3 linked regions of the Mus musculus genome follow. Each later gene encodes a partner of the first gene's protein in a complex. Links are inferred from orthologs where the notes say so. Each region holds a gene or a part of one and is shown on either strand. Other genes may lie near its edges.

Region 1 (3,749 bases):
ATCCTCTGGAAGACCAACAGTTCTTAACTCTAAGGCACGTCTCCAGCCCATAAACCAAACATTTTAACACAGTAGAATTCAAAGGTATACTGATTTAGTACACGCTGAAGAATAATGGTAGAAAAACATTAACTTCTTTGTTTTCCATAATTAAACCATTATATTTACGAGAGGAAAAAAAATCCAGAAAAATAGAAGATGTATGCTCAGGATCACCTAGTGAGATGCTTGGAAGGCACTACCCTGTGCTGTCTTCTCTGGATTTGAAGCATCTGATTCAAGGAAACTTTTCTCTTTCTGTTCTGTGAACTGAGGGGGCAACGGGAAAAGCAGCTGGGGCAGCTGAGAGCGGTGATGCATACGCAGCTGTGCAGTCTGGCGGCCACGCTGAGACAATGGCAAGGCCGGGCAGCTGGACAGCCGAGGAAGCAGCAGCTGAATAGTTCAAAAGCAGCCGGGACTGGAAGAAAGGCAGCACAGAAAAGGGACAGCTGGAGAGAACAGAGAGCAAGACCAGAAACTACAGTCCTGACAACTGGAACGTTTCAGAGTTGTTAAATCTTTGGGGCCAAGGTCTCAGACCCTGGGCCAAGAGCTGTAGCATTCATTGTTGCTGCAAATCCCAAAAACTAGGTCAACCTGGAAGCTGCTAGCTAGCCATAGCCAAGAGCTGGGGGAAATCCCTATTTCCTAAACCCATGCAAGAGCTGTTACAACTTTGCAGGGTCAGGTGGATCTCTGTTAGTTCCAGTGATACACAGTGAGACTCTGTAATTAAAATAAAAAAACAATAATAAAAAAGGAGAAACAGAAGATTTGGGCACTAAAGGATCACCTACTGCTGCCTCACTCGTTGCGCAAGCTGTCAAATACCAGCTCTTGATGTGGGTGAATCAGGACACCGGCCAGCAGATGGAGGACACATGTCTGTCTGTAAAAATAAGCCTGTCGGTTTAAAATGAGATATAAGCAGTAAACGAGGTTCCAGTCAGTGACGTTACACTTCACTTGTTTTCCCGTCCTCAGGTCCCATGTGAACCACCTTTAGTCGGCTACATCCTCCCCATCCGCCCCAAGCCCTTACAAGGATTCTCCACCGATTCGCACCACCCTTCCATCTTTCTCTGACAAAAGTCAGCATCCTCAGTAGACTGTCTCTGTGGTGAAGTGCCAGGGAATCCCAATACTTAGGTCAGCCTGGAAGATGGTAGACATCCAGACCCAAGAGCTGGGGAAATCTTTGTTTCCTACCCCCAAAGCAAGAACTGTTACGACTTGTAGGGATAAGTAAGTCTCTGTTGAGTTCAGTCAGAGACAGAGTGAGATTCTGTCTCAATAAAAAACTAGGAACAGGACTGCACTGCAGATGCTAATCTCCACTGCGATGCCGGGCAGGACCAACCCGGGAAATCTTCGTTGATTTGCTACACTGCCTGTACCGGCCCCAGCGGCCCCCGATCTCTAGCCACGCCCACACCACGCCCCCGAGCCTGCGCCTGGATGACGTCGGTTTTCCGCGCCGGGAAGAAGCCGGTGTGCGGACTTGTCTCGGTGCCGTTCATCCTTTGCGTGGCCCGCCACTATGAAGGAGACGCCGCTTTCCAACTGTGAGCGCCGCTTCCTGCTCCGCGCAATTGAGGAGAAGAAGGTGCGAGGCCTGCGGTGTGAACACCGTGGCTTTGGGTGTAGACTCGGGTTGTCCGTGGATACATTGTCAGTTCGGCCTGTTGTGTGGTCGTGGTGTGGACTCGGGGGCTGCCCAGTGTGGACTCTCCCCATTCCCCAAGCCTCAGGGCAGTATTTGACCCTGACCAGTTCCTTTGAACCTTAAGCCAGCAGTATTCAGTGGCAGGGACGTTGGGAACCAGGACCACACAGACACAGTTGCCACTCATAAATATGTTAAAGCAGTAAATGGTGTTTGCTTACAGCGCCTGGACGGCAGACAGACCTATGATTACAGGAACATCAGGATCTCATTCGGAACGGATTATGGATGCTGTATTGTGGAACTGGGAAAAACAAGGTAACAGGATTCAAGTTAGATAATGCAACAGGAGGTGTGAAAATCACAACATACTGACTCGGTTGTTTACTGAGCAGCTCCGAATTCCAAACGTGCTATTCTTATTCTTATTCTTATTATTATCATTATTCTGATGAGAAATATGTTTCTTTAATGCCAGCCTTTTTTAGTTTTGTGCGCAGTTTAACTTTCAACCATTAGTGCTTTCTGTTATATGAGTATCATAGTTCCGTATGACCATTATAAATCATGTAGACAGCTAACATTGATCACACAGGTTATCTGCATGTCTCATTTTCTAGTGTGAGGAGTGTATCGATCATGTCATCAGTAAGCCTCAGTTTCCCTTTTATTCTCAAATGATGTAAGAAATAAGAGATTTCCTTTCTGTCATCCTTTTGTGTATACCAATATTTTTTATTTCTGCGTGAAATCTACTTACCCTTAAAAAAAAAAACCTTTATTATTGTGTATGTGCATTATTGTGTGTGTGTAGGCAGGTTGCTGGGTCCAGTTTACCACATTCTATATGTAATTTCTGCCTCTTATGTCACATTGTGTTGTTTAGGTTTTTGTTGTTGTTGTTGTTATTTTAGATTTCGTCACCCTTTTTTTTTTTTTTTTAATTGAAAAGAAAGTACGTTTAGTTGACTGCTTTGCACCTTTATTTTTGCAGAGTCCTTGGACAGGTTTCCTGTGAACTTGTTTCTCCGAAACTCAATAGGGCAACGGAAGGTATCCTCTTTTTTAACCTTGAGCTTTCTCAGATGGCTGCTCCAGCTTTTGAGCCTGGCAGGTATCTCACTCTTTGTTAAGTTACTTTAGCCATGGAAGAACTTACCCTCAGTGAGATATTGTTTTCCTGCTCACAGTCGAAGTTTATCACATTAGTTCGTTCTTCTTTCCATAGGCAGTCAGATCTCTTGGTGAAGCTGAATCGACTCTTAGAAAGGTGTCTACGAAATTCAAAGTGTATAGACACTGAATCTCTCTGTGTTGTCGCTGGTGAAAAGGTGAGAAATATGTTCAAAATATCTTAACAATGAATACTGTTGATTCAGACACAATTAAAACAGACGTAGGAACCTGGAGACCTTGCAGAGGTTTGGGTTCGGTTGCCAGCACTCACATGGCGGTTCACAACCTCTGTAACTGTAGTTCCAGAAGCTTTAACACAGTTTTGGGGACACCAGGCATGAGTGTGGTACATGCATACATGCAAGCAAATGTGCATACATGGAAAATAAATGTGTTTTTTAAAAAACATAAGTTTCAAATGTTAGAATGCTTCCATTCAGTTACATATTCTTAGTCTTTCAAATGAATCCCATAGATAAGTTAACTATTAGTATTTCAAGTGTTTTGTTTTAAAGTTAACTGCATTTTTCCTGGATAAACTGGAAGGATTAGCCGTATACGTTAAAAAAAAAAAAAGTGCAGTATTTCTTTACCAGTGGCCATTGGTCATGCTCAGTTGGGATTTATTTTTATATTAAATTCACTTTCAGGTTTGGCAGATCCGTGTAGACCTACATTTATTAAATCATGATGGGAATATTATTGATGCTGCTAGCATTGCTGCAATTGTAGCCTTGTGTCACTTCCGAAGACCTGATGTCTCTGTCCAAGGAGAGGAAGTAACACTGGTAAGCTTCCAGGGCTCCGATCAGAATTGTTCCTGTGAGCAAATCCTTCGTGTGCTGACAGGAGACATGGCAGATAG
Region 2 (3,749 bases), on another chromosome or scaffold:
AAGAAAAGTGGGCAGCCAAGCACCGTAGCTTACATCTGTAATGCCAGTACTTGGGAGGCTGGGACAGGACTATCTCCAGTTCGATGCCTGTCTAAGCATCTGGGTGAGCTAAAGGCCATTCCGGACTCGTGGGTGAGATCCTGTCTCAAAAAAATAACGTGGGCAAAGGGTCCTGTTTGAACTTGTAGCTCTCTTTGTCTCCCTTCATAATCATCTTGTGTAAAGGACAGTCATGGCAAAGTCCCTTGCCTTGCCTTTTGATCAGGTGGCATAGGAATCAAACCAGTTTCTTGCTCAACTCCCTTTACAGTTGGAATTTAAGCAATGTAGGACCCTATGAAAACCTGATCTGTCCTTTCAACCCCCGTCTCGTCTCCTTCTATCGAGGCCCACAAGTAGCTGCCTTGCTTTTCCTCTAAAGGGATTCTTCCCTTGAATTTCTCTTCAAGAAGTTTCTCGGACCTTTTCTTTCTTTCCTTCACAGCCCGCGGTGTCTCACACAATGTAAGAATAACTTTTACGTCTCTATTTCTCCCTAAGAAAGACCCCGTGGGGCTCAGATACTCACAGATCTAGCCAAGCCCCGAACCCCAGATCGTCCCAACAGGAGAAGAGCAGCCTGGCGCAGGCCACGGCTCGGCCTCCAGATCTTGGCCGCAGACATCACTATCGCCATCTTGGCTAATAACCACTCCTCCTTTCTCACAGGATAGACATACGGCTGTCCCACCAGATGCCTTATTCAAATAGCAGCACCGCTAGGCCAACACGCTATCTGCTTCTAACCACCTTGCGACAAAGACGCATAAATGAGTAAGGTGGCAATTTTTAGTCTCTAAAATTGCTCCGGTCGTCTGCTTCTAGTTGCTCCTAATTCAGGCAACTAAAAGGACAACTTAACTTGAACCTTCAGGGTTCAGGACCCGGAGCCCTGAGCAAAATGGGCCCTCTCCAAGTCCCTCCCCCTGTTCCCTGTTGTCCAATGGCTATGCCAGAATTGGGAGGTGGAGGTGGGCGGGACCAGATTGTTAGTAAACGCTGAGCCACGTGCTAGGGCCAACTCGGGCGTGCCCTAGACGGGCGCATGCGCAATAGGTACGCGGCCGGTAGAACTGCGCGCGCCGCTAAGCGGAAGCTACGGTGGGAGCCGCAGCGCGCGTGGTCAGCGGCTATGGAGGGCGCAAAGCGTGCAGACGCCAATTTACTCACTGACACCGGAACAGAGTCCAGCCCCCGAAGTCCAGTCTGCAGTCTCCGGCACTTTGCTTGTGAGCAAAACCTGCTGTCCCGGCCGGATGGATCTGCTTCTTTTCTTCAAGGTACGAGCCTCACCAAGTTTAACTCAGCGCGCGCCATCCTCACCGAAGAAGGGTTTTTGAAGAGCGGTTACTGTGTAGTATGTAACCAAGTACGCCCGCCTCCTTGAACTTATTTCTAGATGTTGAGTATACCCACCTCCCGTCTCGAGAAGAAATGAGTTGGCCAGCCTGGTAAATCCCTCTCAGAGGAGATCGAGAGCAAGACCACTCTCATAAGAGTGACTATCCCAGAATAGGTATTTCACCAAGGCAGATATTACCCTTCTCTAGATTTCTTTCTTTCTTTTATCTTTCTTTCAAGACTTATTTTATTTATATAAGAGCACTGTAGCTGTCTTCAGACACACCAGAAGAGGGCATCAGATCCCGTTACAGATGGCTGTGAGCCACCATGTGGTTGCTGGGAATTCAACTCAGGACCTTTGGAAGAGCAGTCAGTGCTCATAACCACTGAGCCATCTCTCCAGCTCCCCTTGACTAGATTTCTTGGGTTTTTGTTGTTGTTGTTGTTGTTGTTGTTTTCACTTTGTTGTTGAACTCACTTTGTAGACCAGGCTGGCCTTGAACTCAGAAATCCGCCTGCTTCTGCCTCCCGAGTGCTGGGATTAAAGGCGTGCGCCACCACGCCTGGCTTTGACTAGATTTCTTAAAAAACACTTCTAGATCCATACATCACCGGTTGAGGCTAAGGTGTTTATTTGCATAAATACCCTTTGAGACAGACACATCACCACCACTGGTTTAAATATAATTACTGTGGCAGATGATACATCTAAGTAAGTGCTCTTCAAATTAAATGTGATCTTCCCATCCTGGGCTGAGAAGCATCTCCCCTTCCCCGGTCCCATCATTTAAGAAAACGTGCCTTTCCTTGGTATACACATTTCATCAGACTAAATGAATAGGGAGAAAAGAGAAGTCTTGTGGCTGAGACCCACACAACCCTATATCCCAGTCGGGCCAGCCAACTTTGAGAGGTCATGAGAGGGTGAGAAACTACCAGAGTAGACAGATGAGAGGGCAGAGACAGAGTTGACAATGGTGAGTTTGTTTGAGATGTTAAAGGCTGATCACCTTATGGCTAATAAGCTAGAGGTCATTGCTTATAGTGGTGGGTCAGAAAGAGCGAGAAAAAAAACAGTTGAGACAAGTCTCCAGGCATTTTCCTGCGAAGGAATCAGATAGATGGGGCAAGAGCTGACGACTGATAGAGCTTAAGAAAGGAGAAAACTGGCAGGTCAGTGGTGGCACACACCGTTAGTCCCAGCACTTGAGACACAGATGCAGGGTCTCTATGAGTTTGAGGCCAGCCTGGTCTATAGAGGGAGTTCCAGGACAGCCAGGAAACCCTGTCTTGGGGAAAAAAAAAAAGGGGAGACAGCTCGGGGCTGGAGAAATGGTTTCTCTTACAGAGAACAAAGTTGAGTTCCCAGCACCCATTCAGGCAGCTTTCAAGCACTTGTAACTTGTGGGGAGCCAGGATATTGGAAGCCCTGTTATGGCCTCTGCAGGGAACTATACACACACACACACACACACACACACACACACACACACATAACTTAAAAAGTAAAATAAATACTAGGGGGAAAAGAAGAGAATTTCTGCAGCCACATCATCGAGATGGTGGGAAGAAAGAGACTCCCTTGCTCGCTGAGAGCACAGTCTATCTAGCAGTACAGGAATGTAGCTCTAGTAAGCACCTGAGTCTATTGGGTTACCTCTGGTTTCATTGGAGAAGCACCCACAGATGTTTAGTGTTCTCATCCCAGGCTGGCTCTCAGCTTAGCTCATTGCTGAAATCAGCCTCCCCTATCTCTTGGGATATAAGAAATAGAGAGGGAACCTTCCCATGTTCTAAAACCCTAAACTCACAGGGCCCTAGTGCAAGCTGGAGACTTGGCAGACTTTCAAAAAGAATGTTGCAGACACTTCTGACCTCAAAGGCTCCTGTAAGAACACCCGATGGAGGGGGCTGTGGCTGCGGCAGGCAAGCAGTGCAAATGATGTGTATGTATGATAATGACACAATATCCCTATTACTTGACATTTGTCCTCACTAGGAGTCTCTTGCTGTGACAAGGACATAACCAGAATCAACGTGGCAGAACCTGGCTTTTCATGGCTTGTTCAGCCTGCTTTCATAGATAACCTAGGACCACCTGCCCAGTGGTGGCGCTGCCCACAGTGAGTGGGGGCCCTTCTATATCAGTTGTTGATCACTAAAATGCCCTACAGGATCATGCAGCAAGACCCTGTCTCAAGAAAAAGAAAATGCCCCCACAGACCTGCCTGCAGGCCAGTCTGATGGAGGCAATTCCTCATTTGAGTTTCCTCTTTCCAGGTATGGCTAAGTTGACAAAATGCAAAGCAAAAGAAGCAACTAGCCGGCACAGTAGCTTACCTTAAAGGCAAAAACAAACAAACAAA
Region 3 (3,349 bases), on another chromosome or scaffold:
CCACCCAGCCAAAATGTATACTTTTTTCTTGACACTTATTAAGTAACCCCTTACTTAATAAGTGCCACACAGCTTCCTCCAATTCAACCCTAAGTGAAGAAAAGCCCCTATAATCCTGGTCAGGCCCGCTCTGCCTTATGGAATAGCCAGGCTGTAAGCGATGCCACAGTATTTAGGTGGTCCCCATTTGAGTAGTCCATTGCTGCACTGAGCCTTAGTGCCAGGAGCCAAGCCTGGACAGGACACCAGGATGGGACTGGGCGTCCTTCCAGAGCATAATCCTTCAGTTACCCAACTCCTAGACATGATTTTGTCCTAAAGGAAAGGATAGGGGGGCACCAGAACTTCTTTTAACTCTCTCCAGTTCCCTCCCCCCACCCCCAAAAAACAGGGGTTTCTGTGTGTAGCCCTGGCTGTCCTGGAGTCTCCTCAGACTTATCACCTCAGCAGCTGCCCCAGACAATGCTCCAGGGCACGAGGTTTCTCCTACAAAGCACATCACCCCTTCTTAGTTACAGTGGGCTAATATGAACACTTAAGGCAGTAATGACTCGGAGCCCTTGAAAACACAGACTCAACACACACCCAGTTCAGAACAGCATTGTTTCTAACTCTAGTATCAAGAAAAAACACAACAGATGTATTTCCAGTCATAAAATAGTTTTTATGTTTTACTCTGAGTAGTGAGAAGGCAAAGTCCCCTGGTCCATCCTCTCAAAAGAATCAGTTTATTATGTATTGGAGCCAATGGCTGGCCTGCACTGGGTCCATCTCCTACAAGACCATAGCCCCTTATCTCATTTACTAGGTAAATCCAGCCCAAGTCCTTTCCAACTTGGGAGTATGGCTGCTTTCAAATCTCTCCAACTGGATCGTGTTTCCAACGGCCTTTTAAACCTTTCCAACAGAGCTGTCCAGTGCTTTGGTTCTGTGCGCCCAACTGCCCCACTCTTCGTTTCTCAGCTCTGCGGAGTCAGGCGACCATCAGCGCTTGGTCCTTTAGGGAGAGAAGGGCGATAGCAGTCCTCGAATCCTCGTCGCTCCGGTTTTTTCCAATCAGGGTGGGGCGGCGGCACCCCTCCGGCGGGCAGCCCGCACCAAACACTGCTGCAGCACTGGGTAGAGGCGCTGGCAGCCCTCCAGGCCCAGGCGCACAGCATCGGTCCAACTCTCAGTCTGCCCGCCTTCCCCACTGCCCAGTAACCCGGCCACCTGATTGAGCACAGGCATGAGGGCCACCGTGAGACCGGCCGCGGAGTGCTCCTCCTCCAGCCGCGTGGGGTCCAGCAGCCAGGTCGGGGAGGGTCCCGGGGTGAGGCTCAGGCCGCAGCCCACCACCAGATCGTACATCTCCACTCCCGCGTCGGCCAGGGCGAGCGCGGCCGCGGTGAGCGCCGCGGCCAGCGCACAGCCGCCGTCCTCCAGCAGCAGCGCCGACACCTCGAGCTGAGCACGCGGGTAGCGCCCCAGGCGCACGGCGGGCTCCAGAGCCTCCTGTAGCGCCAGTCCCAGCTCGCGATCCTCCCCGCCGCCGCCCTGGGGCGCGCGACGCCGGCGACCGGAGAAGGGAGCGCGGCGGAAATCGCAGAGCAGGCGACCCCGGAGGGCAGCGGGAGCTTCCCCGCCCGCTCCCGCAGGGCCGCTGCCGCGCTCGCCGCCCTCGGCCTGCCGCGGACCGGACACGGCGCACAGCACCTTGGTCCCGCCCGCCTCCAGGTAGGCGGAGCCCTTGGCCTGGCTCAGCAGCCCGGCGCGCGCGTACACCGGGCGGAGCCGCGTCGGGTCGCGAGCAGCGGGCGTCTCGTCGTCTTCGGCCGCGTACAGCTGCGGCGGCTGAGACTCCTCCGGCCCGCGGATGCGGCGATGGTCTCCCGGCATGGCGGCTACCGGCGTGCGAGCTACTTCCGCCTGCTGGGCTGCCCTTGCGCACCCGGCTCTTCCGCTCGCTTAAAGATGCGCGCCCGCGCAGAGCCTATCGGGAGAGCGGTAGGTGTGCGCGCTGCCACCTAGCGGAGTGGAGGAAGAACGGCGAGGTATAGCTGGACTCCTATGCTGGTACTTTAGCTAGTCCTAAGGAACGGATCTGTTGTTATTCCTAGAAGTTTGCATTCAGACTGTTTCACATAAGCTTGCCCAAGGTGAGAGGTTTTTGTTTACTCGTGCAATTAGTCCTCTGGCTGCTTCAACACTTGTTTAATAAATGGACGGTATCTCTCTTTGTACAACTAGATATTTCTAACACTCTGAGGAACTGTCATAAGCAGACAGTATCTCTGCTTCCAGACCCTGCTGTTTGTAGATTCATACAAATTGCATTTTAGGGCTGGGCCAGGGTCTTGAACCTACTTTAGGTTAAAGCAGTAGGGGTGGGGCAGTTAGTAGGACACACCTACATGTTCATACTGCCTATATCAGTTGTCTGACCTCATATCAGCAGCCTCAAACAGGCATGTGGACAGGCATGGTGGAGGTTGTCCTAAGAGACTAAGAACAGTGGTTCTCCACTGGAAGCAACTCAGAATTATTTTCCTCCACCCTTCTATTGAATTTCCTGAACTTTCAGGAGTCTGGGAGTCTATTCGGTGATACCATCAACCAGAAACAGGCTGGAACCGTAACAGATATACAGGAGCCAGGGCTCACCTCAGGACAAGAAGCAGAGCGCATGACATCACCAAGTATTGCACATGGTCCTTTTTATTTTCTGCAGAGAAAAGGCTTCCTTCCTCTGCAGACCTAAAGCCTCAGGCTGGCAGAGTGACCTCATCTAGATGTGATCATGACGTTAAAAAGCATTCCTGGGTAGTGATTTTAGACAGATGGTGCTGACATGAATGGGCTCAGAGCAGTAATGGAGGGGGGCAATGAATCACAGGACAGCTCCAGGCGTGTTCCCATTACCGCTGGATCAGGACGGACAGGGCTGCTGAGAGGTCCCATGACTCCAATGTCTTCGTGGCGGGAGGAGAGCTCCTGGCTGAATTCCCGCCTTCGGACATGTCTGGTTGATGGCGAGTTGCTTTCCCGAGAGGGCTTCCCTCCCATCAGTTCTTCACATCTCCCAGACGGAGCTGGGCAAAGGAGGTAGCCAGCTGCAGTGCTTCCTGAAGGCAGCCCACGTTCTTGCCTGTGGCCTGGGCGGACATGTCCTTGCCACCGCCTTTACCATCCATCAGGCCTGAAACCTGCTGGACCCACTCGCTGGCTTTCAGTCCCCGGTTGGCTGCATTCTAGGAGATAGGAGGGGAAAATGGTAGTCAGAATGGGATTGAGGGGGGAATGGCAGGCGCCCCCAACATCCATTTGTATCATGTGTGATGCTACCACAGACTAACACTATAGCTGGCAC

The links. The genes of interacting proteins can lie anywhere in the genome.
Region 2: Exosc9 (region 1) and Exosc5 share a complex: the UniProt entries of both Homo sapiens proteins name them as parts of the RNA exosome core complex. The link is inferred for Mus musculus from reciprocal best matches to the Homo sapiens genes EXOSC9 and EXOSC5.
Region 3: Exosc9 (region 1) and Exosc6 share a complex: the UniProt entries of both Homo sapiens proteins name them as parts of the RNA exosome core complex. The link is inferred for Mus musculus from reciprocal best matches to the Homo sapiens genes EXOSC9 and EXOSC6.

What each region holds. Positions count from the first base shown.
Region 1 is NC_000069.6:36,551,104-36,554,852, forward strand, and holds the start of Exosc9 (exosome complex component RRP45), read left to right. Parts: upstream 1-1,502; 5' UTR 1,503-1,582; coding exon 1,583-1,648; intron 1,649-1,931; coding exon 1,932-2,026; intron 2,027-2,702; coding exon 2,703-2,822; intron 2,823-2,936; coding exon 2,937-3,039; intron 3,040-3,534; coding exon 3,535-3,672; intron 3,673-3,749. UniProt on the Homo sapiens protein: Non-catalytic component of the RNA exosome complex which has 3'->5' exoribonuclease activity and participates in a multitude of cellular RNA processing and degradation events.
Region 2 is NC_000073.6:25,658,065-25,661,813, forward strand, and holds the start of Exosc5 (exosome complex component RRP46), read left to right. Parts: upstream 1-1,088; 5' UTR 1,089-1,171; coding exon 1,172-1,319; intron 1,320-3,749. Other genes in the region: Bckdha (2-oxoisovalerate dehydrogenase subunit alpha, mitochondrial), read right to left, coding at 569-676. UniProt on the Homo sapiens protein: Non-catalytic component of the RNA exosome complex which has 3'->5' exoribonuclease activity and participates in a multitude of cellular RNA processing and degradation events.
Region 3 is NC_000074.6:111,054,900-111,058,248, reverse strand, and holds Exosc6 (exosome complex component MTR3), read right to left. Parts: upstream 1,911-3,349; 5' UTR 1,879-1,910; coding exon 1,057-1,878; 3' UTR 585-1,056; downstream 1-584. Other genes in the region: Aars (alanine--tRNA ligase, cytoplasmic), read right to left, coding at 3,045-3,230. UniProt on the Homo sapiens protein: Non-catalytic component of the RNA exosome complex which has 3'->5' exoribonuclease activity and participates in a multitude of cellular RNA processing and degradation events.